Astyanax mexicanus: one gene and its partners. The protein of the gene in region 1 purifies or fractionates together with the protein of each later gene. This does not show direct contact. Links are inferred from orthologs where the notes say so. Each region holds a gene or a part of one and is shown on either strand. Other genes may lie near its edges.

Region 1 (10,281 bases):
AGGGGTGTCCAAACTTTTTCCATGACTGCACATGTGTTTCTTCTTCTGGCCCGCAACAAGAAAATACACCCCTGGTTTAGATGATGTTAGTATTAATCTACAACGCAGAGCATTTTAAAATAATAAAGAAAAAAAGCCCACTAAATGTAAGGTCCAAACATTTGACTGGTACTATCTTTGAGCATTAGCATGTCTGCATCTTTCTGCAATTAAACGGACAGAACACTTTACTGCTATATGCTAGATAGCTATGGTGCAGAATCAAAGCAGAAACATAAACTGGCCTTTACCTGCAGTCCCTGAGCTAAATAATCACTCATATTCTGCCAGATGGTCAAACTAGCTGATTAGTTTCTGATTTATAAAAAAAAATAATAATAATAATAATTATCCATCACATAACATGTGCAAGTGTACTGGTTAGGAACACTGGTTTGGACAGTAGAGATGATGTTGGTAGATCTTTAACTTACGCTCTGAATGGTTCTGTTCTTTAGCTCGTCCAGATCAATAATATCCTCTTCCTCATCAGGCTCTTCCTACCCACAGAAACACAGACAGAATTTAATTTACTGTATTCAACTCCTAACTTATAATTACATTAGAAAAACCTAAATTTCAGCATTGAACTGGTCATGGTCTGAATCTTCGGAAACATAGCACAAAAAGTAAGGAAATTTATGTTTGGTAGATTATTTCTTTGATGTAAAAATGCTTATTGGCAATAAATCTTTTCGTATAATTAGCCAAAAGAAGGATTTGGCTATTTTTTCATGTGGCAACCCACATACTTAGCTCTGCCGCTCATCCCACAAATGCATATTCCTTACAAATGTGGCTTCATTTAAAAGGGAAATTAACATGCTTTCCAACATTAAAAGATTGCCAAAAAGCATTGTTACAACAAAGAAATCATTTACTAAAAACAAATGTCCTTACTTTTTCTGCTAAAGCTGCATCTTAACAAATTAGAATATCATTGAAAAAAGTTACTTCATTTCAGCTATTTAGTTCAAAATGTGAAACCCATATATTACATAGATGTATTACACAAAGAGTGACCTGTTTTAAGCGTTTAATTTCTGGCTTACAGCTAATGAAAACTCAAAAGTCAGTATCTCAGAAAATTACAATATTATATAAGAGTGATAATTATTTTTGGCAGTGTGGGCTGTGTGCCAATTGCTGTTGGAAAATGAAATCCACATCTCCATAAGAGTTGTCAGCAGAGGAAAGCACAAAGTTTTGTAAGATTTTGCGGGAAAACTCTGTACTGACTTTGGACTTGACAGTAGTAAATTTTCTGAAGTACAGCTGGTTAATTAACAAACATTAGTAACAATTAGTTAACAAAGTACTTAGCTGTACTAAGATTTTGTGAACCTCCCCCATGAAAAGTACAACTGTGTGAAGTTAGTTCACTTTTTGTTTTTTCTAGATTATCTCTGTCAATAGTTCTTAAATGTATTTAATTCCAACAAGTTTAATTACTTTTTATTGCAACTGAATGTTTAAGTGTGTGTGTGTGTGTGTGCATGTGTTTGTCTTACAGGTATCTCCTCCACTTTATCCAGTGTAAGCTCAGCATCATCTTCCATCACAATCTCCTCCTCCAGCTCCTCAGTGGGGTAGACGGGCCTGACAGAAAAGGCAATCAGAGAGTCAGAAAAAAATATTCTTTAAAGTTCCTATTATTATCTCATTTGCTGAGCTTTACTGAAGTATGGGTAAATGTGTATGTGTGTGTATTACTTTTTCCAGATGAAGTTTCTACTCTTCAGAGCTTCTTCTGCAAGGCGGTCCAGGACATAACACACATGTTCTCCAGAACCAGACTTTAGTTTAGAAGGAGGAAAATCAACCACCCCACCCTACACACACAAACACAAACACAAACACACACATGCACACACACACAGTCATACAGAAAAGGTTAGCAGTGTGTATGTCTCCTAATATAAACTACAGTGCCTCCATAACATTGTGAACAAAGAGAGAGAAAGAGAGAGAGAGAGAGAGAGAGAGAGAGAGAGGAGAGAGAGAGTGAGAGAGAGGAGAGAGAGAGAAGGAGACAGATGGACAAAGAAAAACAAGAAACAGAGAAAGAGACAGGGAAAGAGACAGAGAGAGAAACAGAAAAGGAGACAGAGGGACAAAGAGACACAGAGTACATGAAAGAAAAAGAAACACAGAAAGAAAGAGACAAAGAGACAGAGAAAGAGACACAGAGACAAAGAGAGAGAAAGAGACAGAGAGACAGAGTGAGAGATAAAAAAGACAGAGAGAGAACAAGACACAGAACATAGTCTAGTCTTGGACATTCCCAATTAGGGGTGGGCGATATGGCCTTAAAATAAAAACACAATATTTCATAGTATTTTACCATTAATGATACTCTTGGTGATACCACAGAACACTGAATTTAAAAAAATATATAAAAAATACACTACTGCAACAAAATGAAAAAAATAAATGTTATTATTGCATATGATATGTTACGGCACACCCCTAACTGAGACATTAAAAAATATATAAGATTTTAACAGGACTAATAATGCACTCCATATATCTCAATATATCCATGATTAAAGTAAAATAAATGATACTGGGCAGATAAAATCTCCAGTAGATATATAATGGGAAACGAGAACAGTGTGAATTTTTCTTTTGCTAAAAACAGTTGAAAAAAAGAAGGAGTACCCTGATGTGATAATTAGGGGTGGGTGATATGACACGATATTTCAGGGTATTATATCGTTCATGATATTCAAAAATGTTAGCAGATTTGTTATGGCACACCCCTATTCCCAATCTTGCTCTGATGGCTCCATGATGTGGGATTCACATGGGTGGAACACAGGCTAGGTGGGTTCAAGACATGGGCATGGGCTCTGAATGGGTTTGTACATGTGTTGTTACTGAGACACAGTTGGAATTCCCAAATGAGCTTCATCATTACAGCCCACCTTCATCTCGAGGGGACCCATCTATGTCCCATGTCTCTGTCTCATACTTTCTTACTCATGCACACTCTTCAATGTTCAATGTTTCTGCCTTGTTGTAACTGACCAGAGCTCGGAGCTGGGACAGGATGTTGGAGACGGTGGCGTTGGGGTCATCATGCTCCTGTGGTGTTTCAAACGGCCGTCCACACAGTGTTATAAGCCAGGCTGCAATCACACTGAACATGTAGAACTGCTCACCCGTGTTGCTCGCTGTGTATGGACTCGACACAAAATAATGCCTGAGAAAAATAGGAACAGTGAGGAGGACAAGAGAAAGAAAAAGACAAGGACAAAGAGAGAAACACAGACAAAATGAGGACAATCAATGTTATATTATTAATATTATAACTAATACAGGGGTTGGACAATGAAACTGAAACACCTGTCATTTTAGTGTGGGAGGTTTCATGGCTAAATTGGAGCTGCCTGGTGGCCAATCTTCATAAATTGCACATTGCACCAGTAAGAGCAGAGTGTGAAGGTTCAGTTAGCAGGGTAAGAGCACAGTTCTGCTCTAAATATTGCAATGCACACAACATTATGGGTGACATACCAGAGTTCAAAAGAGGACAAATTGTTGATGCAGGTCTTGCTGGCGCATCTGTGACCAAGACAGCAAGTCTTTGTGATGTATCAAGAGCCACGGTATCCAGGGTAATGTCAGCATACCACTAAGAAGGACCAACCACATCCAACAGGATTAACTGTGGACGCTGTAAGAGGAAACTGTCTGAAAGGGATGTTTGGGTGCTAACCCGGAGTGTATCCAAAAAACATAAAAGAACCTGATCAAATCACGGCAGAATTCAATGTGCACCTCAACTATCCTGTTTCCACCAGAACTGTCCGTCGGGACAATAAATTATTGTGGTCTAAAACCAGGTGTTTCAGTTTCATTGTCTAACCCCTGTACAACTGGCAGGATTATTTTTATGTAGAGCTGCTCTAAAAAGCAACAATAATCAGTGTTTTAGCAAAATATTCCACAAGATCCTACAGTAGCATTACAGTAGTATGAAAAGGTTTTGGCACCCCTGATCATTTTCAGGATTTCCTTTCATAAATTTTTGGTTGTTTGGATCAGCAATTTTAGTTAAATGTATCATATAGCAGACGAACACAGTGACATTTGAGAAGAGAAATTAAGTTTATAGGATTTACAGAATGTGTGCAATAATTCTTCTATCACAATAAGACAGATTAGGCAGAATTTGGAGGTCCTTGTGGTTTTATTGTTTTGAATCTGATTTTGCTATTTATAGATATATGTTTAAGTTGTTTTATTCTATAAACTACAGGCAACAATTCTCCCAAATTCCAAATATAAATATTGTCATTTAGAGAACTTATTTGCAGAAAATACCATTTTAGAGCTTTTAGACCTCAAATAATGCAAAGAAATCAATCAAAGAATTTAGAAATCAATATTTGTTAGAATAAACGTAGTTTTAATCACAGTTTTCATGCATCTTGGCATGTTCTGCTTTTGGGTAACTTTATGCCTTTAATCCTGGTGCAAAAAATCAAGAAGTTCAGCTTGGTTTGATGGCTTGTGATCATCCATCTTCCTCTTGATTATATTCCAGAGGTTTTTCATTTGGTAAAATCTAATCATTTTAAGTGGTCTCTTATTTTTTTCCAGAGCTATATATACATGTATTTTTACGGGCTTAGCTTTAAATACTGGCTAAATAACATTACATGAAGATAGCTACATGACTTGCTGAATTTACTCAACAGTGGCCGATCCAGGTCCAGAAAGTACTGATCCACCCCCAGGATTTAGTTCCAACTGTCTGGGTGGCTCTGAGCTGCAGCAGAGCCGCTCAGGTAGTTGGAACGAAATCCTGGGGTGGACAGGTACTTTCTGGACCTGGATCCAGAAACAAAATAGCCAGCTAAGGCTAATAACAATGCTATAATAAGCTAGTCTATCTCATTTTTTGTTGTTTTAACTCGCCGAACTCTTACCTGGACAGCGTTTTCATGTTGTGTTTAACCAGAACATGTTCCTCATAATCCAGCAGCTTCAGTTTATCCAGCATATCCTCCATAACCACAAACATCTGAAATTGAGCTCCTGGACCCCGTTCATCCTCCTCCACTCTTCTACCATCTTCTGCCATACTGTACACTAAACTACAGCGGGTTAGAGAGCTGTAGTTTACTCGTCAGATGGGTAAATTAAAGCCTCTTTTGTGCTGTAGAAGGGTGTACAGTTAGCTAGGTTAGCTAAGTTATCCCGCTAGCCGCTGCTAATGCTGGGCTGGTGTCTGTGCGGTTTGTTGTAGTTACTGTTGGCAGCTTAGTTTAGCCTGTAGCTCACTACAGGGTTGCCAGGTCTAAAAACATAACCAGCCCAAAGTCAGTTTAGAACCCGCCATTCAGAAGCTTAAACTAGCCCAAAATATACAGCTCTGAAAAAAATAAGAGACCACTTAAAAATGATGAGTTTCTGTGATTTTACCAAATTGAAAACATAATGTAATATAATCACGAAGGAAGATGGATGATCACAAGTCATCAAACCAAGCTGAACTGCTTGAATTTTTTGCACCAGGAGTAAAGGCATGAAGTTACCCAAAAGCAGTGTGTAAGACTGGTGGAGAAGAACATGATGCCAAGATGTATGAAAACTGTAATTAAAAACAGGGTTATTTCACCAAATATTGATTTCTGAACTCAAATATGAATATGAACTTGTTTTCTTTGCATTATTTGAGGTCTGAAAGCTCTGCATCTTTTTTGTCATTTCAGCCATTTCTCATTTTGTGCAAATAAAACTTTGAATGACAATTTTTTTCAGGAATTTGGGAGAATTTGGCCGTAGTTTATAGAATAAAACCACAATGTTTATTTTACTCAAACATGTACCTATTAAATAGCAAAATCACTGAAGTCGTCTCTTAATTTTTTTCCAGAGCTGTCTGTCTCACGGCTTAGTATTTACTTACAGTCATTAATAATAGTGTTACATTAGTATTTTTTATTAGTTATTTTATAACAGTTTTATATCACAGTCAAGAACATTTAATAATAACATAAATAGCAAAAAATAAAATAAAATTACTTACTCTTTTCTATTCCTGCCCCTCCTGAACTTTCTTCACTCCTCTTCATTATTTTTAATTGCCTAGTGATTTCTGGTTACACTATGTTTTTTTTTTTTTTTTTTGGGTGGGGGGGGGGTGTGACTTTTTGTTTTTGTTTTTTGGTGGCCGCGGTAATTTTTAAAAGAAGCCCGAAAAACGCACCCCGCCACCCCTGAATTTTCACCCGCGACTGGATTTTCAAACAAGCCCAATTTGACGGAAAAACCGTGAACCTGGCAACTCTGGCTCACTAACTGTTGTTCAGTAACGTTTAGCAGTAATACCTGCACACTACAAAAACACTCAGTTATGTCAATAAAAATGGTCAATTAGATCAGACATTTAGAAAATACAGGCGGGTTTGTATTAGTCAGTCAATAGATAGACAATTTCATATAGAATAAATAGAAATAGAAATATAGCTAGACTCGTCAACACTGTATATAACACTTATTTAATTTCCTGGCAATACATATTTCTTTTTTCCTCTGATAAGATTGTTTTTCTTACTAAGCACTGTATAAATGTAAGATTTTTTTTTCTTAGCTTATTTTAGGAATAATTAGGCTTTTTTCCCTTATGTTAGCACAAAATAAGCACAAAAATTATCTAATTGTAAGGAAATAAACCTTTTTTTATCTGATAAATATTTTTGTTTTACTAAGCACTGTGTAATGTTAACATTATTTTGACTATTATAGGAATAATTAGGAGTTTTCACATTATTTAAAGTAATTTGAACTCGAAACAAGCACAAAAAGTGAAATGATTGAATTTTAAGGCAACAAATCTTATTTTTGTCTCTGAAAAGATTGGTTGTCTTACTAAGCACTGTGTATAAGTATAAGAATATTTGCTTATTTTAAGAATAATTTTCACATTGTTTCATGTAATTTGAAGTCACAATATGCACAAAATGTGAAATTATCTAATTTCAAGGCAATCATTTTTTTTTCTCTCTGATAAGAATCTTTATCTCACTAAGCATTGTGTATGTGTAAGATTGTTTTGCTTATTGTAGGAATACTCAGTCTAACTTAGAATTTTAGAACTCAAAAAAGCACAAAGAATCACCGGTCAAGTTAATTTAATCCTTGAATCCATATTTAATCCAAAAAATCAGTTATTTTTTTATTGATTTAAGTTCTACTCCACTCATTTTGAGACAAATGTCTCCATACGTCTGTGAAATATTTATTTAAATTTTTTACAAACATTGTATAATACAATTTTTTTTAATTAACACATTATAAAAATATAGATCTACTTTAAAGGCCTTTAAAGCTTTATTTGATGTGGGAAGGTTTTTGCTGCTTAGTTAAGTTGAATGATTCTTTCAGGGGATTAAATAACCTTTTTTAAATTGTGTTAAAAATGTATAAAGTTTTTAGGCACTGACATTTTTAATTTAGCTTTTTATATACATATATCAAACTATTTAAATGTTTCCAAGAATTCCCTGTCCATTCTGTCATTTTGGGATAACCCCGCCCCTTTAACATAACGTTTTACATCAGTGATACCATAACCTTAAGAAACTTAAGACACTTGTTGCATGTTCAGCAATTTAATTTAATATGAATCACATTATTTCCATATTAAGCTGTGTTTAAGCTCAAGCTGTCCACAGTCTTTTAGTAAAATATCTCAGTAATTATCTCAGTATCTTTGAAACAGAACTACCTCACCATGAACATTCAAACATGCCAGTTTTCAACAAATGCCAGTTTTCTCTTAAATTGTCCATTCTGTAACTGTCCATCCTGTCACTGTCTACTCTGTCGTGCAGCTTGCAATGGGTGAATGCATGCATGACAGAAAGTATCGTTCCTGTGTAGTCTGAAGTAAAATATCATTCTTGTGTAGTCTTATAAATATAAAAAATAGTCAAAAGACGGCAAAAAGGCAGAGTATTCTGGCCAGATTAGCAAAATAATCAGTTTACAGTGTGCAAAAAAGTGCTTAAAAGACTAAAGACCATGCAACAGTGGGCCCACAATTCAAAGCAAACCTACCTACCTACCTGTTAAACATGGTGGTGGAGGTGTCATGGATCGGGCATGGCTGCCACAGATATTTTGACCCATTTTATTGATGATGTAACTGTTAAAAACAGTAGTACAATTAATTGTGAGGTATATAAGAATATCTTATTTGCTCAAGTTCCCGTAAATATCTCCAAACTCACTGTGTGGTGCTTTTTTACTATAGCAAGATCATTCCAGACATAGTTCTCTGGCACCATTGTTGTTTTTCAAAGAATACAAAGTGATTTGTTTTAGTTAGCTAATGCTGGCAGGAAATGAAGGATGTGCCATGATTGATGGAATAATGAATAATGAATTATGCCAGCAAATCCTCATGGAAACTAATAGTATTAATATTATTATTAATATTACTTTTGTCTGCGCTAAATCTCAAAAAAAGGTGGGTTATGCAGCAAGACAATGACCCTAAGTGCATGAGTCATTCTAGCAAAAAATGGACGAAGAAGATCAAAGTGAATATTTTGGAACGGGATCTGGCCAAAATCCTGATCTTAATCCAGTAAAAAAGAAAAATTGTGGAAGGAGCTGAAGCAGCAGAAACCCACCAACATTCCAGAATTGAAGATGTTCTGTATGGAGGAATGGGTTAAAATTCCTCCAAGCCGACATGCAGGACTGATGAACAGTTCAAAACAGCAATTTTATGATGTTTTAATGATAATATCTGTACTGAATTTCAAGTAGGATTTACGCTTTTATTTAAGAAATATATGTATGTTTTTGTATTACTGCTAAGACTATCAAGATATCAAATGCATATCGGCATTTAAACATGCGTGTATCAATGAGTGTGTGTGGGTTTCATAGAGAGAGAGATAGAGAGAGAGAGAGATAGAGAGAGAGAGAGAGAGAGAGAGAGAGAGAGAGAGAAAGAATTCCAGTAGAGCTGCTCAGCTGTTCATATTTATTTCAAGTAATCTTTTTTTAGCAGACATGTCAGATACACACAAACACACACACACACACAGTAACGCAGTTTATCTGCTATATGTATACACTGCCTTTTAAGGTTTAAGTGGAGGTTTTAATTGGGCAAAGTTTATTTTTAATTTACTTTTAAAAAGTTACAGATTTTTCTGTGGTAAAGTCAGTATAACTTCTCAAAGCTTAAAATGTCAGGAAAAAATATTTCAGCTGTTCCTTGATCATCTTGTTGTTGAGCTTTTGGCGCTCATTAGTTGCCCAGACATATTTAGCATCTGCACTAATTTGGCAAATGATAAGACAGGACATTTTTATAACAATAGGAGTGGCACACGTAAGCTCATGTTGGCTTTATCTTACTGTTTTTCATTCTTAACCATTTAACTATGCTGAAATAATAAAAATGAGTCATTCCATTTCTCATTTCTCTCCCATTTACATACATGTTTGGTCTGTGTATGACTTATATTGAGGACGACAAATACACTCATTGACAAAAATAATGATAATAATAATAATAATAATAATAATAACGCACCAAGAAAGAGTTGTTGGAATAGAATGAAGCTTCATACTGTATGTGTGAATGTAATGATGATACTGTATATGTAGGTGATTAAAATATTAGAGTAAAAGGATAAGTTTATTGAGAAAGTGAAAGTTGTCGTTCGGAGGCGTACAGATTCCATATGGCATCTTGTGGCATATTTGCCAACAGATGTTGTAGCTGGGTGTGTAGATCTTGCACACTCATACTGTGGGTTGCGGAAGCTGGTGTCTCAGTTAGTCCCATAAATGCTTGACTGGAAAAATCTGGCAACCGTGCAGACCAAGGACATGTTGCAATTTGGTGAAGACATACATGGGACACCCTTGCAGTTTGTGGATGAGCATTATCCTGCTGGAACGTGCCAGATGTTCTGCACATAATGCTTCACTACTAGGCGTGACTGACTGTTGTATTCAATGGCTCCCAATATCACCCCACCAACAGTGTGGGCAATGTGTCGCTCCACAGCAAAACCAGAACTAAAGTATTTACCATCAGGCCTTCATACTCAAACATGACTGTTTTCACATTCCATACATGAAACATGATACGGTTTCACCTCTCAAAGTCTGTCAACAGCATACTTAACAGTTAATAATCTCTCACCAAGAGGTACACTAGCCGAGTTTTTCCACAATCTGGGGAGCCATATTATTATTTCT
Region 2 (10,281 bases), on another chromosome or scaffold:
CTTAGATCACAAAGTGCTGGTTTCTGCAGGAGAAAACGCTTTCTCTTATAAAGCTCCCCAACACTGGAATAACATTCCGGAATATGTTCGGGACTCAGACACAGTCTCAATCTTTAAGTCTAGACTAAAAACCTACTTGTTTGGTCTAGCTTTCGGTAATTAATGTTTTTCCTTTAGATCAGGCTGCAGATCCAGGGGTTCACGGACATAGGGAATTGTGGTAAACTGAATGCTGGTGCTGTTGTTCACCCACTCAGCCACTCAGGTTTGTAGACCAGTCAAATCCAGTCAAAACTAATTCCATCTTTTTGCTTTTCTGTTTTCTCTATCTATCTCTTCTACATATATCGAGATACCCTGTTGCCCAGCCTGGCTCTTCACTGCTCGCTGTGTTGCATCCCTGCTCTACGACCCTGCACTGATCAACATGAACACACTCAGAATCTGTTTCTATATTAGCCATAGCTCTTCATTATCAATTATGTGACCTTTTTACATTGTAGCTTAGTACCTGTTTCTACATTATCCATATCTCTCCATTATGTGCCCATCACATTTTTACATTTATAAATCAGTACCTGTTACATTAGCTCTAACTCATGTTATCTCTCTGTACTGTTGTTTTGTTCTGTTATTTGTTTGTTGTTTGTTATTTCTTTGTACTGAGCAGGTCCACCCCAGGGGGATGGGTTCCTCTGACTGAGTCTTGGTTGCTCCTAAGGTTTCTTCCTCTTAAAGGGAGTTTTTTGCCACTGTGTCCCACAATAATTGATATCTCTGTGGTGCTGCTCATAAGAGGCATGGGCCTGTTTTTCTCTGTAAAGCTGCTTTGTGACAACTTCTGTTGTAAAAAGTACTATAGAAGTAAAATTGAATTGAATTAAATGAAATACATCTCTAGCCCATTTAATAAGTGATTTATAAAAAAAAAGCATGTCTGTGGTTTAGTAAAGTAAAAAACGAAAAAAAAAAAACACTCGAGCGTCATGTTAAAAAATATATATTTCTAATCAATGCAGTTGCCATATAAAAAAATCCTATTTTTATGTGGCTGCCATTTTAAAATTAGTCCTGGATGTGAGCCAAATTCATTCCTCGCACTGAGAAAATAAAGTTTATAGCTTCTGCTTACTTGCCCTTTTTAGTCTTTGACTAAAGCTCATTCCATAAATTCGAAAAAACTTCCCTTAAAGTTCCGCACTTTTCAGCATAACAATTTCTTATGCATCTTCATTTAATAGGCATAATTCGGTCTAATGTAGTATGCTCTTCATTTATTCCAATGTCAAATAAGTTCACTTTGACTTTGACAGAAAATAATTATAAACATCAGACATAATTAAAACTACATTAAAGTTTAAAAAAGAACCTACCTGATTAAGGCCCACATAAGTAATCTCAAATTTGTTCTTGTAGATGCTTCTGCGAAGGCAACAGTCAAATTGCTCCACTCCACCACACAGCGTACCCTGGTCAAAAATAAGGATAAAAGGTGTTGCTTCAATAATGTACTACAACAGAAGCCAGCCTTTTTTAACAGGCAACTTTAATACTCTGGCTGGTCTGTGGGTAATCCAAAACACACCGTGCAGAGCCGTGAGCCATCTTTTTTCCACGCAAGAGCCGTAATGGTGTACAGGTTGGGAATTTCTTTGGGAGATGCCTGATCCCAAGCACCTCTTTGAGGACTCCAGTTGAAAACCCTTAATCTGCAGGACAATGCAGGAAAATGTTATTAAATCTATGATACAATAAATTATGATTAATTCTTATTATTTAACATTTAACATACATTATTATATGATTCTAATTCCTTCCCCTAGCCATTGTTGTTTAGTTATTTTTGCAACCAACAAATGTGAATTGGGTGTGGTGAAAAGAGGAAGGGTTACACTTCTGCACAATTACTTTTTTTTTCCACTCATGAGAAAAAAAAATGTTGTTGCACTCCACAGATGATTTAATGTAATTGTACTCGTGTGTATGTATGCATGCAAACAGTACAGTATATAACTTTTAAAAAAAATCAATTGCAACTACTTGAGGATTAAACTAAAGTTCCATGGTGTGACCGAACGCATGACATTAAAGATTTACTAGAAAACGTATGGAAAATAGCATGTAAATAGCATACTCACCTATCATAACTGCCCAACACTACTGACTGTCCACTGGGGCTGGTGGCTGCAACAGTAAACTCCTTCTCTGAGCAATCCCGGCTGTAGTCAAACATCTGCAGAACATGGCCCTCCTTGCCATATGCCACAATCTTCTTATCAGACCCAGCCACAATAATGCTGTTGCTTCCCCATGCAAGAGCATATGGTGGGCAGGTGTGTGTGAGCAATTTGCCCTTAATAAGCACAAAAGATTCCAGTTAATCTTCTACTATGTACCGTCTTATCCAAAAGGAACAGTGAGACCAATCACTTTCTTTCTGCTGCTAGACTGATTTTTCATCTTCTCTTAGCTTTACAATTGCTTGTTTTTATCCTAGTCAGTTCTCTGGTTTTCATGTTGGTTACTCCTGTAACTACAAATTCACAGTCTGCAAAAAGGGGGACTGGCCTTACTGTTTCATAGTGTAAATGTGCAAAAACAATATTTAGAACTTTTTTGTATTCATTTTTTTGTACTTATTGTTTTTGGTTGTGATACCTGGGATTCACCAGAACCTTCATCCTCAAAGAAATACCGCACAACAGTCCCATCTGCATGGCCTGAAAGGATTCCTTTACCGGAGACACTAACACATACAGTTTGGGATAAAGTAAGTATGTGCAAAACCAAATATAATACAAAACTTCAAAAAGATGGCAGAGGTACAGAGAACTATAAGAAAAACATATATGGGCATACTTTGAAGTCAGCGAGACAACATAGGATTCTGTTCCATAGACTGTAGATGATTTGTTGTTTTTTGTGTTGGCCACACGAATCTGCATGTCAACAAAATTATTAATTAATGATGCAAATGCATTTTAAACACATTTTTTAAAACGTTCTGTAAAACTTAGGGCACCTACTTTTCCCTCTGCCAGTCCAAAAACTATAGAGTGTTCTGCTAGCCAAAGCAGACATATTACAGCACTCTGTAATAATGGAATAAATGAGAAGTTAACATACCGTGTTATATGTAGAATGTTGTCATTTTACTCCATATTTATAAATCTACATACATATAACTTACTGTCTGTACAAACTTGTTGCAGATAACTTTTTTGTCACCCCTGTCATTAAGATAACATCAGGTTATAGAGGCAGACATTTTGGTTTCATGTTAATTTAAAGATGGTTAACATAAATATAAAATTTATATCTAAGTAACATTAAGGATAAACTGACATACTTACCAATCTTCTCCAATTTTGTATACAAATATGATATTATCAGTTTGGGCAATGGCGATCTTGGTGGAATCCGGTGAAAATGCTATAGACTTGACCATGTAGCTTTTCTTTCCATACTGTAAAAAATAAAATAAATAAATAAATAAATAAATAAAGCATGCACTGGAGAAAGGACAGGGCGCAGCTGCTGACTATACTGGCCAAAAACTTCTTGCCATGCTTCCTAAAAATAATGACTTCATTCTGAACCAGGAGTAGAAATGTCAAGAGTAGAAAATACTTAGATTTGAAACCATGTGTACTGGGAGGGTCAGATAATCTTTTATATGATTCCATCCCTCCTAACAGCATTGTTATCCAGAGGCTTGGTGTTCTCAGAGGTAGGGCGGACTCTGACCTTCTTTCTTTAAAAAGTGAGTATGAAGAACTCTTTCCTGAGTGAATTATTTAAATTAATAAAAACAACAAACACACACCAGCTGAAAACTCCTGCTGCTCCTACTTTGACTGGACACGTGATGCTGGTTGTCATGGTAACGTTTACACTACGTGATATTCTATACAATTCAAATTTTTCGATCAGATTACTTAAATTACAGTACATGTACACGGAGATTTTATTAGATTGTTGAGTAGTCTGTACCTATAAACACTTCAAATTATACAATTGAAATTATTTTTTCGAATTGCAGATCTTACATTTGAATCTGTATCGCAAAGAGGCATACTCAGGAAAAAAGCAAGGGTACGGAATGAAGCGTATCGTGATATGAAGAAAAATATACGTTGTCAGATTAGTAAAAGGAAAAGCAGTTAAGTCGCCCCACACTTATCGTACTTTGGAGTCTGCAGGCTTGGTTGAAAACTTATCCCGTCTCTCTCCCTGTTCGTCGTACAGCAGAACTACCCGGTCAACGGTGCACACGGCAAACTTGGCGTTGTTCGGTGCCCATGCCATGCAGGTCACTTTGGCAGCCCCGTCCTGTCAGAAAATAAAGAGTTTTACTGGACAGCCAGAAAAACCGACCTGAGATATATTGGGTCGTGGGATATAAATGCGACTGGTTGCATAAACACTAGCTAAGCTTTTTTGTTTTATTACAAAGGCCAGCGTTAACTCTTAGTAACTAATTAGAACACATTTACGTTGGGGGTTATCTACATATTTAGACCAGTAACTTAAGTTAATTATTTTGCTGACTAGCAAAATATGTGTTACCTTAGTGGCATTTTATTGGTTCCCGTATGCTAACCTAGCTAACGCTGTGTTAGATAACTAGGTTTAATTTCTACCCTCACCCCAGTTTTCAGGAAAGCTAAACGCCAGCTATTCCATTTAGTAGTTAGGTTGGCTAGCTAGATAACGCTAGTTAACCTACTGTTATGCTGAATCTGTAATACGAGACAATCGAAAAGGCTACGCTAACGTAGCTAGCAATGTTTTATCCTATCAGTAGCCGTGGAACACTGCTAGCTAACCTCATCAGCTGTCCTTTAATATTACCTGTGGGGTAAGAAGAGTCTTCAGGTGTTTGAGCTGCATGCTGTATATTTTATAAAGAAGTTTAATATCGATGGTGATATTTGCTAAATCTCCGTTCCTGGTTACCGTCGTCAAGACGCACGAACCACGAAGAAGTGACAGAGCCGGTTTATGGGGAGGCCTCCCACTTTCGTCGTTATAGCGGAACATTACCGCTAGAGGGAGCCCGCAAGTGAGTACAAAATGAATAGGGGTGAATAGAGTTAACCGACTAAAAGAACTAAAAACAGTAACTAACCTCTAGTCCTAGATATTATTTGAAACTTTAAATGTAGACATTTAATGTGATGTGTATTTTGCTTAAAAGCAAAGAAAACATACCTTGTTTTTTTATATTCCTTACAGTGCTTTCTTACTGTTTCTTACTTAAAATGTTGTTTGTTTCTACTGTGTTGTGTAACTGCTACTGGCTGCTAATTTCCCTTCAGGATCAATAAAGTATCTATCTATCTATCTATCTATCTATCTATCTATCTATCTATCTATCTATCTATATTGGTTAGCTGATGCTGGAGTGATGCTGCTGATATTAAAACGTTTATAAAATGATGTCTGCGGCGCTGAAACATATTATTGTTGGTAACATGGCATTGTTCTATGTTAAAAAGTAGAACATTTTACCGTATAAAATAATTAATCATTAATTAACTCTGATTTTCCCCACATTACTTTTAGACTGACTCAGAGGCTTCCTTTGGTGGTGAAACAAACCCGGAGGAGATTCTAAAGTGGGTTTTCTCCCTTGAAATAGAGAGTCTCTGGTTAACCGGGTAAGAGGGAAACTGCAAAGACGCCGGCGTGACGCAAATCTCCATCGTGCAGTTCCCCATCTATGTAATGCTGCAGGCCGGAGCCCAAGTGGGCGTGGCTAAAGGGCGGAGCATGTGTCAATCATTGTCGACTGCAGCCAATCAGATACTACACTTTTGTTGTCAATCACTTTTTATTAAGCCAATCCTCACACAGACCAAACTGTCCATCATTTTTTACTGCAGCCAATCACCTTAACAGATCTGTTAAAAGAAGGCGGAAACTGCGTTGCTACTGGTTAAACATAGCGCGATTTAAACTTCTGAACAGTAGAGGTGGGCGATACCGGGAATTTTGGTATCGATATGATACCAAGTAAACGCAGGGCCAGTATTGCCGATATCGATACTGATACCGATACTTTTTAATATTTAAGCTTTATAGATCCAAATGATCCAAAAACCTAGGATATAATTTCACCAAACATTGATAACAAAATACTTTAGTATCACAATCAACATTTTTTGTTTAGAAACAATGGAACAGTAACAAAACAAAGTTTAAATATAAAATAAAAAAATATAAAAAAATAAAATAAAAATTCTCCCCTCACTAGACATCTTTTCTAGTTCTTTGTTTCTTTGTTTCTTTTTTTTAATAGAATTGTCATTTGGAAAAACAATAAAAAAAATAAGGAATTGTCTTCCTTTCAGTGCAATTCAAATGCAAGTTTTTCTTAAATAAACAGAGTGTAAAAAAATATCACTCAACACAAATCTCCTGAGGTAGAGGCGTGTCGACTCGAGGAGAGCGCTGAGTGGGCGGGGCCAGGCTGAGCCTACCTGCGTGGCGGTTTGGCTGGCTTTGCTGAGCCATGTGACGCATGTGCAACAACAAGAGACCAGAGAGTAGACTGAAATTAGATTAGAAAAGCCCTGACTTTAGATATTTTTAAATCAAAGATTAAAATACTCGTTTTTCTGGAATGGCACTTTCGTGATTTTTTTCCTTTATTGCGGTAATTCCAAAATTTCTCCTCGGGGATCAATAAAGTGTCTGTCTGTCTGTCTTGCATTAAATTGTGTATACGTATGTGTACGTATATATATATATACACACACACACACACACACACACACGTATACACGATTTAATGCAATTACTACAATAAAGGAAAAAAAAATCACGAAAGTGCCATTCCAGAAAAAAAAGTCAGGGCTTTTCTAACGTTTTCATTCAGTTACTTCTGTTTAAGAGCGGCATATAGGCAGGACTAACTACAGTAGCACATAAATGTGTTTAAACTGTTAATGTAGTATTGTGTAAAATACTTATACACATTCAGCTTCACCGCTGTTCAGAAGTTTAAATCGCGCTACGTTTAACCGGTAGCACCGCAGTTTCCGCCTTCTTTCTTCTTCTTCTTCTTCTTTCAGGTTTATGGCGGATGGCAGACCAACTGAAGGTGCATTACCGCCACCTACTGAGCAGGAGTGTGAAGTGTGATTTCGGGAAGTGACATGGCCAATAATAAACAAAATGTAGGTGAAAGGAAATTCATAAATAAGTACATAAAAATAAAAGAAAGTAAACGAGAGAGAGAAAAAAAAATTAAATAAAGTAAAATATACCAATAGCTTTCAAATATTGAAAAACCAGTTTGTGAACCGAACCCATCCCTGCCCCATAAGAAAGCAATCCTGTCAAAGAAAATTCTTTGTGACCCTTGTCTTTAAGAGAAGAAAACAAAATTTTCCTTTGTACAGCATATTTATTGCAACAAAAAAGAACATGGTCCACGGTTTCCCTCTGCGGACAGTGGCGACAAAGCCCTGTGGAGTGTTTCTGTATTATTTGCAAAGAGGCATTCAGCATACTGTGACCTACTCAGAGCCTTGTTAGTACAATTTCCTGCCTCCGACAGTACCCTCCACTCCCTCCAAAACCAACCGGTTGTATTGCAAACAAATGCCTTCGGTTCATGTTCCCAATTAGTCTGTCATAATGTTCTAACATGTTGCTTTATAACCACTCTTGCCTCAGCTTTGCTAAGAGGGATATCAAGGTCATATCTATTTTTCTTCAGGCATTGTTTAGCAGCTTTGTCAGCAGTCTCATTACCGTCCACCCCTACATGTGCTGGAACCCATAAAAACTGAACTAAAATAGTCTGCATGTGTAAACGAAATAATGCCTGAGATATTTCTAAAATTAGGTCTTGTCTACATTTAGATTTGCCAGACTGGATGCTTTGTAAAGCAGACAAAGAATCTGAACAAATCACCATCCTCATAGGGCAAACAGCCTCAGCCCACTGCAATGCTAAAAGAATGGCGACAAGCTCGGAGGAAAATACAGATAGGTTGTCAGACAGTCGCCTACTAATGATCACATGAAATTCTGGCACAAAGACCGCTGCTGATGTGGATCCCACAGTAGGATCCTTAGACCCATCAGTATACACCTGCAGAGTACCATAATAATTAAGTGCCAGATGTTGTTCTACCATAACAGCTGTACTTCCTGCATCACTCCATTTTTTATTAAGGAGGGAAAAATCAACACTAGGCAATGGGAACATCCAAGGTGGTACCACTGATATAGGAACAGTACTGCCGAAAGCACGAGCCTGCAATCCCATTTCGCCTGCTTCTGAGTTGCTCAGAAACCCAAAACTCCTTGAGGGACCATGAAGAGGAGTACTGCAATCATGTAGAACAGACACAGCTGGATGGCTCTCTATGTGCCCCTTCAGGTTGGACCAATATACTGTAGACAATGCAAGTCTTCTTAACTGCAAAGGCATTTCTCCTGTTTCAACCTGTAGAGAAGCCACTGGGGAGGATCTAACTGCACCACAACACAATCTCAGTGCTTGTGCTTGAATTACATCAAGTAATTTTAGGTTTGACTCAGCAGCTGATCTATAGGCCATGCAGCCATAGTCAAAAACCGATCTAATTAGAGCATCATAGATGCACAGGAGAGAGGAACGGTCAGCCCCCCAGTCACTTCCCGTCAAGCATTTAAGGACATTTAATCCTTTTTTGCATTTGTCTATGCTCTTCATAATGTGATGCTTCCAGGTCAATTTCGAGTCCATCCACAGACCAAGAAACTTGACTACCTTCACCTGTTCAAGAGTCTGACCATACAATTTAAGCCCAAGTTCATTTGTTTTTGATCTCTTAGAAAAATAGATGACCTGGGATTTAGCCACAGATAACTTGAATCCCCATTCATTTGCCCAGTGTTCAACCCCAACAATTGCCTCCTGCATCTTTCGCTTAACAAAAGATAGATTCCTCCCTCTCTTCCACAGAGCCCCATCATCTGCATACAAAGATTTTGCTATGTCAGGACTAACCCCAGAAAAGATGTCATTGATCATAATGTTAAATAAAATAGGGCTACAGACACTGCCTTGCGGAGTCCCATTTTCAATAGAATACACCTTAGAACAAGAAGTACCCACCCTGACCTGTATGGACCTATTCATTAAAAAATCCATTACCCAGTTGTACATCCTCCCTCTGATTCCGAGCACAGACAGCTTAATTAGCAAACCTTCTTGCCACAGCATATCATAAGCCTTTTCAATATCAAAAAATACAGCAACAACCACTTCTTTATGAAGCTGTGCCCTCCTGATATCTGCTTCTAAACCTAGGATTAAGTTCATTGTCATTCTGCCTCTACGAAAACCACTCTGATAAGGAGAAAAGCTATTCTGACGCTCGAGAAAGTAGGACAACCTTTCTGTTATCATGCGTTCCATAAGCTTACTTAAATGTGAAGTTAAAGAAATAGGCCTATAACCAGCTGTATCAGACAAGTCCTTTCCTGGCTTTCCTACCGGTACCACTATGGCCAGTTTCCAAGCTGACGGAAGTTGCCCTGCTGTCCAAACTTCATTATAAAAGTCCAAAATTATACTAAGAGATTTGTCTGTGAGATGTTTAAACATATCATAACAGATATTATCTTTACCAGGGGAAGTTCGGCCAGATCTCACTATGGCTTGTTTGAGTTCTAGTAAAGTAAGATCACTATGTAAAACACTATCAAACACCAACTTTTTATTTAATACCTCAGGGTTTTGTGCAAGGACTCTACTCCTGCAGGCCACCAGCTCACTACTTAAATTTGCAGATCCATGAACCTGTACAAAAGCTTGAGCCAGAACTTCTGCCTTATCCACATCAGTCACAGCTTCCCAGTCTCCCTTCTGTAAAACAGGAATCGTCCCAGTTTTCCTAATGCCCCTCATTTTCCTAATCATAGTCCAAATTTCAGTCACAGGAATGTCAGTCCCAATACTACTACAAAAGGACCTCCAGTACTCCTTCTTTGCAGATTTTACAGTTTTCCTGACCACAGCTTGAGCTTGTTTATAAATAATTAGGTCAGATGCCAATAAGGTTCTTCGCACCACACGGAGGGCAGTATTACGCCTTCTGACTGCTAAAGAGCATTCTGGAGTCCACCAGGGAACTGCTGCCTTCTTACCACCAAACTTCTTTACAGGTATGGATTCCTCAGCAGCTCTATACAGAATTCCACACAGCTCCTCATTACATTTATTTACATCTCCAGACATAGACCAGTCCAACAATCTGAGTTCACACAGTTCAGAGA
Region 3 (10,281 bases), on another chromosome or scaffold:
CTCAAATTCACAGGATGGCCTTTGCTACTCTTACCTCTTAAATATATGATAAGAAAAACCCAAATGAGTAATCAAATCAAATTTATTTATGTAGCACTTTTTACAACTGATTGTCACAAAAAATAGTACATTGAGTTGCAGTCTAGTCAGGTAGCACCTGTGTATAATAGCTATTTTATTTGTATTGTATAATTTATCTGTGGAGGCACAATAATAGTCTGAGGGTGTCCGGGGTAGAAAATGCTGTTACCATACTGTATCTTATGTTCCATAGAGTGTGATCAACTCGTACTAAGTTGTTATGCATGTTATCGGCTAAGCAGCCACATTTTCTTATTTCAGTTGTTTTTCCAATTTTACTCCTGCTTCACACTGCTTTTATTAAGATTTTGAATTTTAGTAAAGTAAAACTTTCCGTGCGATTTCAGGTCATAGTTTCTGTTCAATAACATTTGACCACTACACAATTGTTTCCACAGGATGCCTTCAGGAATGGTCTTGTTGCCACAGAAGTTCTGATGTGGTTCTACATTGGCGAGATCATTGGAAAGGGGGGCATTGTTGGATATGATGTGTAAATGTGGACTGTTCTTGTTGCGTGTTCCTTTGTATTAAGTTAGAACTTCTTGGAATCCAGGAACTAAATAAATGTCTATTGTTAAACAACAAAACCAGCCTGATTTTTATTTATTTATATTTATTATTTTTTTTTACACAGTACATGGATGGGTAATGTCTTAACTTTTTTTTATTGGGTCCTGTTCAACAATTCTCACATACACTCCAAGTAAATTTTGCTCTTAATCACTTCATGACTTTAATTTATTTGTATTACTCTTTGGCATATGCAAGATAAGGCACCTCTTGCTGCATGAATTGAGTGAATTTTTAAACTGAGTTTAATTTATTTGGTCAGCCTTTTTGTTTTTAACAAAAAAAAAAATATTATGCAGTGCAAAAATTACAATAAGCTGTTAGTATACAAACATGGAATAGTCGAAGGTGTATATTGTGGAATGCACTGGACAATTCTCATACTTTCAATGAGCTTGCTTTTTAAGTTATTTGAATAAAATGGGTTGTTTTGGGATGATCAAGACTGTACTGTGTTAAACTTAAATCACAAACCTGGTAACAGAAGAATCCTTGATATGAATGATCTGTATATACAAAAAATGCACAGAGACTTTTACGAAATCATGCTATAATTGACATTTCTTCACGCTCCCTACTTTCGGACAATGTCTGCACAACGTTTCCCAGATATCTGCGGAACTCCTGACGCACATCTTCAGCATCCTCCTCCAGGTTGGAGTGAATGAGGGACAACTTATTCAACTGAGAAGCTGCATGGAGGAAAAACGGCAAAAAAACATGAATCTCTTAAGCCCAGTGCATCAATACTAGTATCTGTTATGAGAAACCAGGTTTAGCATATTTCACAGTCTCACCTAACTGAGGGCGAGATGTATCTGCTCCACTGCCAGGCTTATGATGTGCTATGAGCAGGCACTGCCCCACTGCCAGGCCTTGTGAAGAGATAAATGTAGAGTACCAGGTTTCTACTTCCTTGAGGTGACTTGGAATATCAGGGTTAAATACTATCACCACCCCATTGGAGTCTTTCATCAAAGCAGGCCAGCATGCTTCATACCTGTATCAACAATATATTAGAAGTGGACAATAAAAGACCTAATTCAAACTTTTAAGACATGAATGTGAAATTCAGGTAAATTAATCTAATAATACAACCCGGTTTAATAAACTGAATAAGGCAAGGCTTGATGTATTGTTGTCTGCTACTATTGTCAATAATACAGAACTAAAATAGATGTAATGTGAAAAAATCTTATTTGAAGAACCCATATCACGTTTAAGTAGATGTTACTCACTAAAAAAATAGAGATTGCTGTACTATGTAAATATTCTATATAAACATACCGTTCACTTATGTATTAGAACTAATCTGCAACAACCTACAGTGGTTTAGCCATACCCATTCCCACTGACATTATAGACTGAAGAGTGCTGCAGTATAGACTGTTTTGGAGGCACACTAATAAGCAGCCAATCAAAACAAAGGCAATGTAAATATAGCAGTCTTAAAGTTGCAGTACATAAAACAGCTAGTTTAATTCTAGGGATAAAAAAAACAGAGATGGGAAAATGAAAATTATTTTATTTGCTACACAAAGGTCATGAATTGACCTCAGTGTAAAAAAAAAATAAAAAAATAAAACACTCACTTGAAATCTCCGGCACAGTCCCACAGTTCCACCTCACAGGCAGAGTCTTTCGAACCACTTCCCAAATGCTGTGACTCAAACTCCAGTATCCTTATGAAGATAGAAATAAATTAGTTAAGAAAAACAAAACACAAACGTATACACTGCCAGGCCAAAAAATGGTCACACTCCTAATATTTCATTGGACTGCATTTTGTTTTGATTGCTGTGCGCATTCTTTGTTGCATTGTTTCAATAAACTTCTGCAATGTCACAAGATTTATTTAAATTCAGTGTTGATGGTAGAGTCTGACTGCTGCACAAAGCTTCTCCATCACATCCCAAAGATTCTCAATGAGGTTCAGGTCTGGACTCTGTGTTGAACAATTCACTTTTTCACAATTCCAGCCCCATGAATCCTGACATTGTCATCTTGGAATATGCTCGTGATCATCAGGAAGAAAAAATAACCTGTTCTATATTCAGTATATTCAGTATAACCTCATTCTTTCAGCACATACCAGACATCCCAAGTTGCAAAAGTTGATTTCAGGGAGGTTACCCCACTCCCGGGCATCAGGGAGCCACTACCGAAATGCGGGAGACTCCCGCAGCTTCAGGGAGACTTGGTTTGTCTGACATACTGTTGCTGAACCTAAACCTGCAGACCAACTGCAGCATCAACCCACATCATTTAGCCCACATTATTTTTTAGGCAGGCACTGTATTATTTGTGGTTTATTAATTTAAAGCTCAGTTCTTAGTGATATTCAGTTTCCATATAAATCTCACCTCACTCCTTGTGTGGGACTGTAATCTGCCTCAATCGTCTCCACAGTGTCAGAGAGAAAATTTGCCAGCACAGTCTTTCCACACTGTCAACATAAACATATCAAACAATGTATGCGTCATGCATTACAAGATGTTATGGCATAATTAGGAAATAAGTTATAAACCCTATAGTGATAGCTAATTTCTCTGGTTAGTGTACTAGTGCATCTCAAAAACTATAATTGTAAATACTTTATTACTTTATTTCAGTAATTCAGTTCAAATTGTGAAACTCATATTATATAGTTGTATTAAACACAGAGTGATCTATTTTAAGTGTTCATCTATTTTATTGTTGATGATTATGGCTTACAGCCATTGAAAACCCAAAACTCAGTGTCGCAGAAAATTAGAATATTATATAAGACCAATTGGTACTTTTGGCAGTGTGGGCAGTGTGCCAAGTCCTGATGGAAAATGAAATCCTCATCTCTATTAAAGTTGTCAGCAAAGGGAAGCATGAAGTGCTGTAAGATTTTAGACTTGATATAACACAGTGGATCAACACCAGCAGATGACATGGCCTAATCATCAACAATAAAATAAATAAACAGTTAAAATAGATCACTCTGTGAGTTTAAAATGAATCACTGAAAAAAAAAAATTATGATATTTAATTTTTTTTAGATCCACTACTATGTTACATTTGATTTTGGCTATGCTGGTCAATCAGCTTGGTTTTACTGGTCTTGCTAGATGAACAGCTTGGTCAAGCTAGGTCATACTGGTTATCCAGCTATCTAGCTTGGTCAGGTTGATCAGGCTTGTAGCTAAAATCACCAAACTAAAAAAAAAATAAGCCATATCTTATAGATAAAAAAGAGATAAAAAAAGATAAAAAAAAATGAAATAAAAGAATTAAAATTAAAATTAGCTACAAAAAATCATAATAATTAAAAAATTAAGCAAGACAACACAAAAACATACCAAAAATCCATATGGAAAATACATGAATTAAAAGATAAAATATAATATAAACTATAACAGTGGCAGGCTGTCTGAAGGTGGTTAGAGACTAGAAGTTTAAAATGATTTAGAGTTTCTTGTAGTGAAATGATCTGTAGCTAAAAGCAGATATTACCAGTTCAGTAAAAACTCTCAGTAACTAAAAGGTGATCCAGTCACTGGAGCGAGTCTGGTAAGTTGTGTTATTATTAACGAGCATTTGTGTGATGTACGGTGGTATATGTCCAGAAAGTGCTTAATAAATAAAAATAAAGTGATATAAGTTACTAGTATATAACATAATAGTATATACAGAGCATAAAGTAAATATGAAGAATAAGAATCTGCTTACCTCGCTGGGTCCGATTAAAAGTATTTTTACTTTTAACATTTTTTAGAAAATTAGATATTAGACATTACAGTGACTGCAGATCCCTCAGTAACAAGCTGATTTAACTACTGTGAACTGGCTAGCTAAAGCTAACTAACCCAGCGTAACTGCTTAACGCTACTGTTAGCTTTATCTGTTTATTTACAGTGGTTCTGGATAACCCCCGATGTGTTTAGATTAGCTGTGTTGGTGGATTAAATATTAACGCATGATCTATTTAATAAACAACTGAATTTTTCTAAATACAGCAGCCGAGCCTCCTTTACGTTAGCATTAGCCACAATAAGCTAACTAATAATAACACCACACTTCTCGTTGTCATGGTGCTGCAGCGCAAATCAGCGCCTTATTTTACTTCCACACATTCGACACTCTGGACTCGTTTTTTATTTTATTTTATTTTTTTCATTTTTGCACAACATACAATCCAAAACACAAAAGAAAACACAAAATCAGGTCACAAACAGAGTTCAAATAACCATGATTACAAAAATACAAAAGCAAAAACACCAACCCCCCCCCCCCCCCCTAAAAAACTAACATAAAAAAGAAAAGGGATTTATATAAAATTGAAAAGATTCAGTATATATTATACATTTTCTCATTTTTAATTAGTCAGAAAATTAGCCAATAAATGTATATAATTATATAAGTCTAAATAACCAAATGTTTGGAATAAGGACTCTGGACTAGCCACATCAGTATAATAAAAAAAAAAGATAATAATAATAATAATAATAATAATAATAATAATAATAATAATAATAATAATAATAATAAAAGAGCAGATGTCTATGACATAAGTGGCTCAAAAAATGTGTAGTATATCTTAAATATAAACCTTACATTTGAAATTAAGATTAAACTGTTCAGTCACTAAATAATGTAGATATTTATATACCTTGCGTTGTCTATTCTACACCAACAGAGGGCACACCATGAAAATGAGTAGATTTATTAGAACAGAATGAGTGCACACCGCTAGAGGGAGCATCATAAATGCATCATAAAGGCATTTGATGAAATTAAATATAAACTCATTTATCCCAAACTGTGGTTTATGGTTAGATCTGTAGAGCAGATCTGCAGAAAAAAAATATTTATATAGTCTCAATATGTATATATAATTTAGCTGTTAAAACATTTTATTACAGCTAAAACATTACAGTTAAAATAGTACTCATTCTGATTCTGATTAGACAGTTACTGTGACACAAACCGGGAAAACCTTGCCACTGTCGCCATAAAAATTTGCATCTCTGTGGTGCTGCTCATAAGAGGCGTGGACCTGTCTTTCTCTGTAAAGTTGCTTTGTGACAACTTTTGTTGTAAAACGCGCTATATAAATAAAATTGAATTGAATTGTATTGAAAACCAGCAGAAATACTGTCTTATTTTTGAGATATTTTGGTCTTTGGTCTAAAGGGCAGTTTTGTTGGGCCTTACTGCATCCCTCATGTATATCTCTGAAATGAATGTGCTTAAAACCATATATTGTGAAAAACAAAGTTTGAAAGATCTGGCAGCATGTTGATAAACATTTCATGTGCTTTCTCTTGAGAAACATTTAGGCATTAAGCTTTTCAGGTATAATAAATTCAAGTGATACCTAAAAAATCCCCTGGGTCATATAATCAGATTTTGCTAAGTTTCTCTGTAAACAGGAATTTCCCTTCAATCGTTTGACTATTTCCATCTGTGCTTTTCCTGCACAAAGTGTGATGCTCTTTCTCCCTTTAAAGAAAATAATCTTTGGGCTAAGATGTTTTCTGGAAAGCCAGCTCAGATTTTTATCAGGACTAAGTGTATTAGAGCTTGCAATGCCTAAAATATGGGACAGAGAGCCAAATGAGAGCCACTGCTGCAGCTGCAGTGTTTTACATCAAAAATGTGATTCAAAAATGCTTTTTGAGAGGATTGCCAGCTCCTTCTCTATATTTTCACTGAAGGAACAGTAAAGGAAAGGGCTGGGAGCGTGTTTCCTTCCTAAAGCTCAGAGACACAGTGCAGACTGGAAGAACAGGCCGTGGCAGAAGGCCAGATGTAAGTAGGTTGTGTAGATTTGCCAGAAGAGTTGTACAATTTTCGTTGTATGAATGGGCTGAAGAATTTGAAACTGAAGAGTTTAAAGAATTTACAGTGATATAGCATTAATCTGGGATTTAACTGGTGGATTCAAAGTTATCTTAATCTTAAAATTAGTTATTTAGTTTAATATGTTACATTAAACCTTTAAATTCAAAAGACAAAATTATTTTTAAAATGACTCTCCTGCTTATGAAATTACTTTTGGTTATATATCTTTATGCACTAGTGGGCGGAGATAAAGCGTGTATTCTGTTTTATCTCCCCCTCCCACCAATGAAATGTTGAGCTACCTCAAAGTGCCATGCTAATGCCAAGTTTCACTCAGAAAGCAAAAACTCAAGGCAGAAGTATTAATTGACATTTAGTCAGACTGTAATATGATTCAATATGATTCCAATAATATTGTTTATTGCAATTATTTCTTGATCTACTGTATATATCGTCCTGGCAAATATAGTTATCATGACAGGCCTATTTACTATTTTGTGTGGCATGGTTTTATCCAAATATAATGCAGCAGTCACCAGATCTAAACAGAGTTTTCTGAGCTCCATTGTCCAAAAAATAGCTCTTACAAAACACAAACACACATTTTAAGATAAAAAAAAACTTTAATCTGAATAGGTCATTGAATAACACAAATATGAATGTGGCACCTGGTGTTTGGATAAATACAAGGTTTAGTATTTAAAACAATATTATTAGACAAAGAACAGCATAACATGGCAATGCTTGAGTAACATCTTAGTGGTTTTCTCTCTACACTCTTAAACATAAAGGGACTTCTAATGTTTTTTTGAGGGATTCCATAGAAGAACCACTTTTAATATAATTAAAAAGCCTTATTTAAACCATGGAACCATTAATACCTTTATGGAACCAAATATGGTTATTCTGTGGTTTTCCTCTAATACCCATTTGAAGCCCTGCTGCAATTTGTGAATTAAATGATTTTTCAAAAAGATTTTTTTTTTCACAAAGTAAAACTGTAATGGCTTCAATGATGGCTGAAAATTATACAAAACATAATATATGGCGTAGAAAAATAGCAAAAAACAGAAACACTGCTGAAAATATTCAGTCCTTCATTTTTCGGACTCTTTCTAAAAGACGCAAATCCTTCAAGTTCATTTCAACTGGCAGATCTTAACTGATGTTCCGACTCCAAAACCTGGATAGAGGGGCTCGCTGAACGTGGTCTCGAAGCGATGCAGACACGTCATGGTCTCGCCAATGCTGTAGAAGGCCAACAGCCCTGCGCCGTGGTCCAGGTAGACCCCTAGCCTGGGAGAGTGGGGGGCGTTGATGGTTTTGTCTACCCTGTTATGCCAGGCTGAATAGCCAGTGTCAGAGCAGAGGAGGCTCCAGGATTTATCGTTGTACCCCAGCAAGCAGAGGGAGCCTTTGCCCTTGCGGCTAATGCCCCGATAGGCCACGCCCACCGAGAACTCTCCGCTCCACTCGATCTCCCAGTAGAAGCGGCTGCCGGACAGGGCCTCGCGGCACAGCACCTGGGCGAAGCTGTCGAAGCGCTCCGAGTTGTCTGAGTAGGGCTGCAGGTTGCGGGTTCTCGTCACCTTTCTGTTGCTCTCGGACAGATAGAGCTCTTTATAGGCCGTGCTGGGATCCAGGCGGAGCTGGCAGAAGTCTGGAGGCAAAGAGAAAGAAATTTAGTCAATTCCAGTAGGTAGAGGTGGGCAATAAAGTGATATTTGATCATATTGTGATAAAGACAGTATATTTTGAATAAAAGTCACTTGTATTTGAAAAGTGGTTTTAAGTTTCTGTCAGTAGTGATGCATTTTGTGTGCGATTGAATGTATTGTGAGAAATATCATATATTGTAATTTTTTTTTTAATATTGTGATACTATATTTTTTTTACCATATCGCCCAGCCCTATCAGTAGGTCACACAACAAAAAATAAAAGGGTTCTTAGCAATGGTTCTCGAAAAGATTTTTAACACTAGCATTTGTTTTATTGACAAAAATTAGGCAATTTCTTAGGCATTTTTATTGACAATAGTTTTCTGACACTGATATGATTATAATATACTAGCATATTTATGCAGTTAAACCCTATTAATAAGCAATAAACATTTTAATTATTAAAGGAATTTAGACAGTGGGATTCGAAAATACACACACATACAATAAATAAACCTAATAAATAAAACATAATCAAATAAAAAGGATATTTTAAAAACAGAGTTGACACTAGAGCAGGGCAACATGACAATAATTTATGATATCAAGCCAAATTTACTTATTCTTTGAAAATATGCTTTAATATAATATACACTGACCCAATGTATATTTAATTTAAAAAAAAAAAGTGTAAAATGTTTAATTGGATGATGTGCAGAAAAAATATATATATTGAAAATCACTATACTGCATGAGTATTTAATTTGCAGTTTTTAAATGCTGTGTATCATAAAATTGTCTTTAAATGTTAAGATACAGTATAATAGTTTCACCATATAGCTCAACTCTGTCGGTGCATGATTACATACACCATGAGTGGTGGCTTTTATGCTCTTCATACCGATATATGGTAATTATATTGTGTCAACCAGAATTACAAAAATAACATAATCTAAAATTTGGCTCTAACTGCCACACACCGGCTCATGTTCATGTTAATGGTCTTTTTGGGCTAACTAAGCACAATTGATCAACTATTAAGTACAGCAAAAATTATTGAGGTTGTGTCAAAATATTGTTTAATAAGTAAAATGTATTAATTATGGTAACAGGCCTACAACCAATAAAAGCTAACATTTTTTAGGGCAGCACATCAAAGAACACCTATTGATGGTGTTAGGTTGTGAAAGTGTGGAATATCAATATTTGTACCATACAGGCCTATTGTGTATTATTTAGTGTAGTATTGTCAGAGCATTGTCAGGGCAACGTCGGGTAGTATTGTGAACTACAAGGGATGGTGTGTCATCTTAGCCCGGGTGGACTCTTTCAACCTGACGGAAGCATTCTTTGAAATAATAAGATAATCTACTTACATTTTAGAAAGTCAGACCGGCTCCTGGGTTGTGAAGGAGGGGCGCTGTCCACAGCATGGACCTCTTTGACTGGGCGTAGGAGAGAAAGCGAACAGTCAATGTAAAGTTAATACTGTCATATTGGTTGCTGTTATATCTATAGTTAGACTTCGCATTACTGTGTTTTTTTTTTAGAATAAATGGTAACACTTTATTTAAAGATGAAGAACATAGAGGGCTTAATACCACATTTCTTAGCATTGAACAATGTAATTATAAATATATAGCTTATGACGGTACTCACAACTTCTACTGTATATATTAACAAAACTTCATATATAAGGTTTATAGAATATATGAGTCATGAAAGAGCCACCTTAACACATAATATGTTCAGGGAATTCAAGGAAATGAAGGTATTTTGCCTGGAAAATGTGTTACCACTTTATTTTGACTAACACAAACTGTGCAGCAGCAGAATCAAAGCTTCTGTCTTTGACTTACATCCGCATTCTTAAAAACATATATAATAGTGTCTAAAAGAGTGAACACAGTGTTTAAAAACTCCAGCAGCACTGCTGTGTCCGATCCATTCTATGGACTGTCATGTATTGGCATAAACAATTAATAAAGATTCAATTATTGCTATATAAACACATTGTGGTATGAAGCCCCATACGCAGGTAGTCTTCAAATAAAGTCTAACCAATTAATTTAACATTATTTGGACTCATCATTTGCGTAATAATGCTCAGGGCTCACCTCGGCTGCTCTTCTCTCGGACAGTGCGGTTCTCCAG

The links.
Region 2: the proteins of ift57 (region 1) and ift172 purify together in Homo sapiens (affinity purification with mass spectrometry; 3 studies listed by BioGRID and IntAct, counting the BioPlex papers as one, with this or other methods). This does not show direct contact. The link is inferred for Astyanax mexicanus from reciprocal best matches to the Homo sapiens genes IFT57 and IFT172.
Region 3: the proteins of ift57 (region 1) and ift22 purify together in Homo sapiens (affinity purification with mass spectrometry; 3 studies listed by BioGRID and IntAct, counting the BioPlex papers as one, with this or other methods). This does not show direct contact. The link is inferred for Astyanax mexicanus from reciprocal best matches to the Homo sapiens genes IFT57 and IFT22.

Annotation. Positions count from the first base shown.
Region 1 is NC_064411.1:27,938,772-27,949,052, forward strand, and holds the start of ift57 (intraflagellar transport protein 57 homolog), read right to left. Parts: upstream 5,416-10,281; 5' UTR 5,132-5,415; coding exon 4,977-5,131; intron 3,245-4,976; coding exon 3,070-3,244; intron 1,872-3,069; coding exon 1,753-1,871; intron 1,639-1,752; coding exon 1,551-1,638; intron 540-1,550; coding exon 473-539; intron 1-472. UniProt on the Homo sapiens protein: Required for the formation of cilia. Plays an indirect role in sonic hedgehog signaling, cilia being required for all activity of the hedgehog pathway.
Region 2 is NC_064408.1:56,344,726-56,355,006, forward strand, and holds the start of ift172 (intraflagellar transport protein 172 homolog), read right to left. Parts: upstream 5,013-10,281; 5' UTR 4,894-5,012; coding exon 4,855-4,893; intron 4,333-4,854; coding exon 4,189-4,332; intron 3,467-4,188; coding exon 3,354-3,466; intron 3,231-3,353; coding exon 3,191-3,230; intron 3,093-3,190; coding exon 3,027-3,092; intron 2,940-3,026; coding exon 2,860-2,939; intron 2,747-2,859; coding exon 2,659-2,746; intron 2,354-2,658; coding exon 2,139-2,353; intron 1,710-2,138; coding exon 1,586-1,709; intron 1,470-1,585; coding exon 1,374-1,469; intron 1-1,373. Other genes in the region: uncharacterized protein LOC103024580, read right to left, coding at 6,975-7,126. UniProt on the Homo sapiens protein: Required for the maintenance and formation of cilia. Plays an indirect role in hedgehog (Hh) signaling, cilia being required for all activity of the hedgehog pathway.
Region 3 is NC_064408.1:15,181,638-15,191,918, reverse strand, and holds ift22 (intraflagellar transport protein 22 homolog), read right to left. Parts: upstream 4,718-10,281; 5' UTR 4,393-4,717; coding exon 4,354-4,392; intron 3,101-4,353; coding exon 3,018-3,100; intron 2,337-3,017; coding exon 2,247-2,336; intron 1,655-2,246; coding exon 1,452-1,654; intron 1,347-1,451; coding exon 1,198-1,346; 3' UTR 1,107-1,197; downstream 1-1,106. Other genes in the region: atp5l (ATP synthase subunit g, mitochondrial), read left to right, coding at 480-578; ftr82 (finTRIM family, member 82), read right to left, coding at 7,608-8,128, 9,504-9,572, 10,245-10,281. UniProt on the Homo sapiens protein: Small GTPase-like component of the intraflagellar transport (IFT) complex B.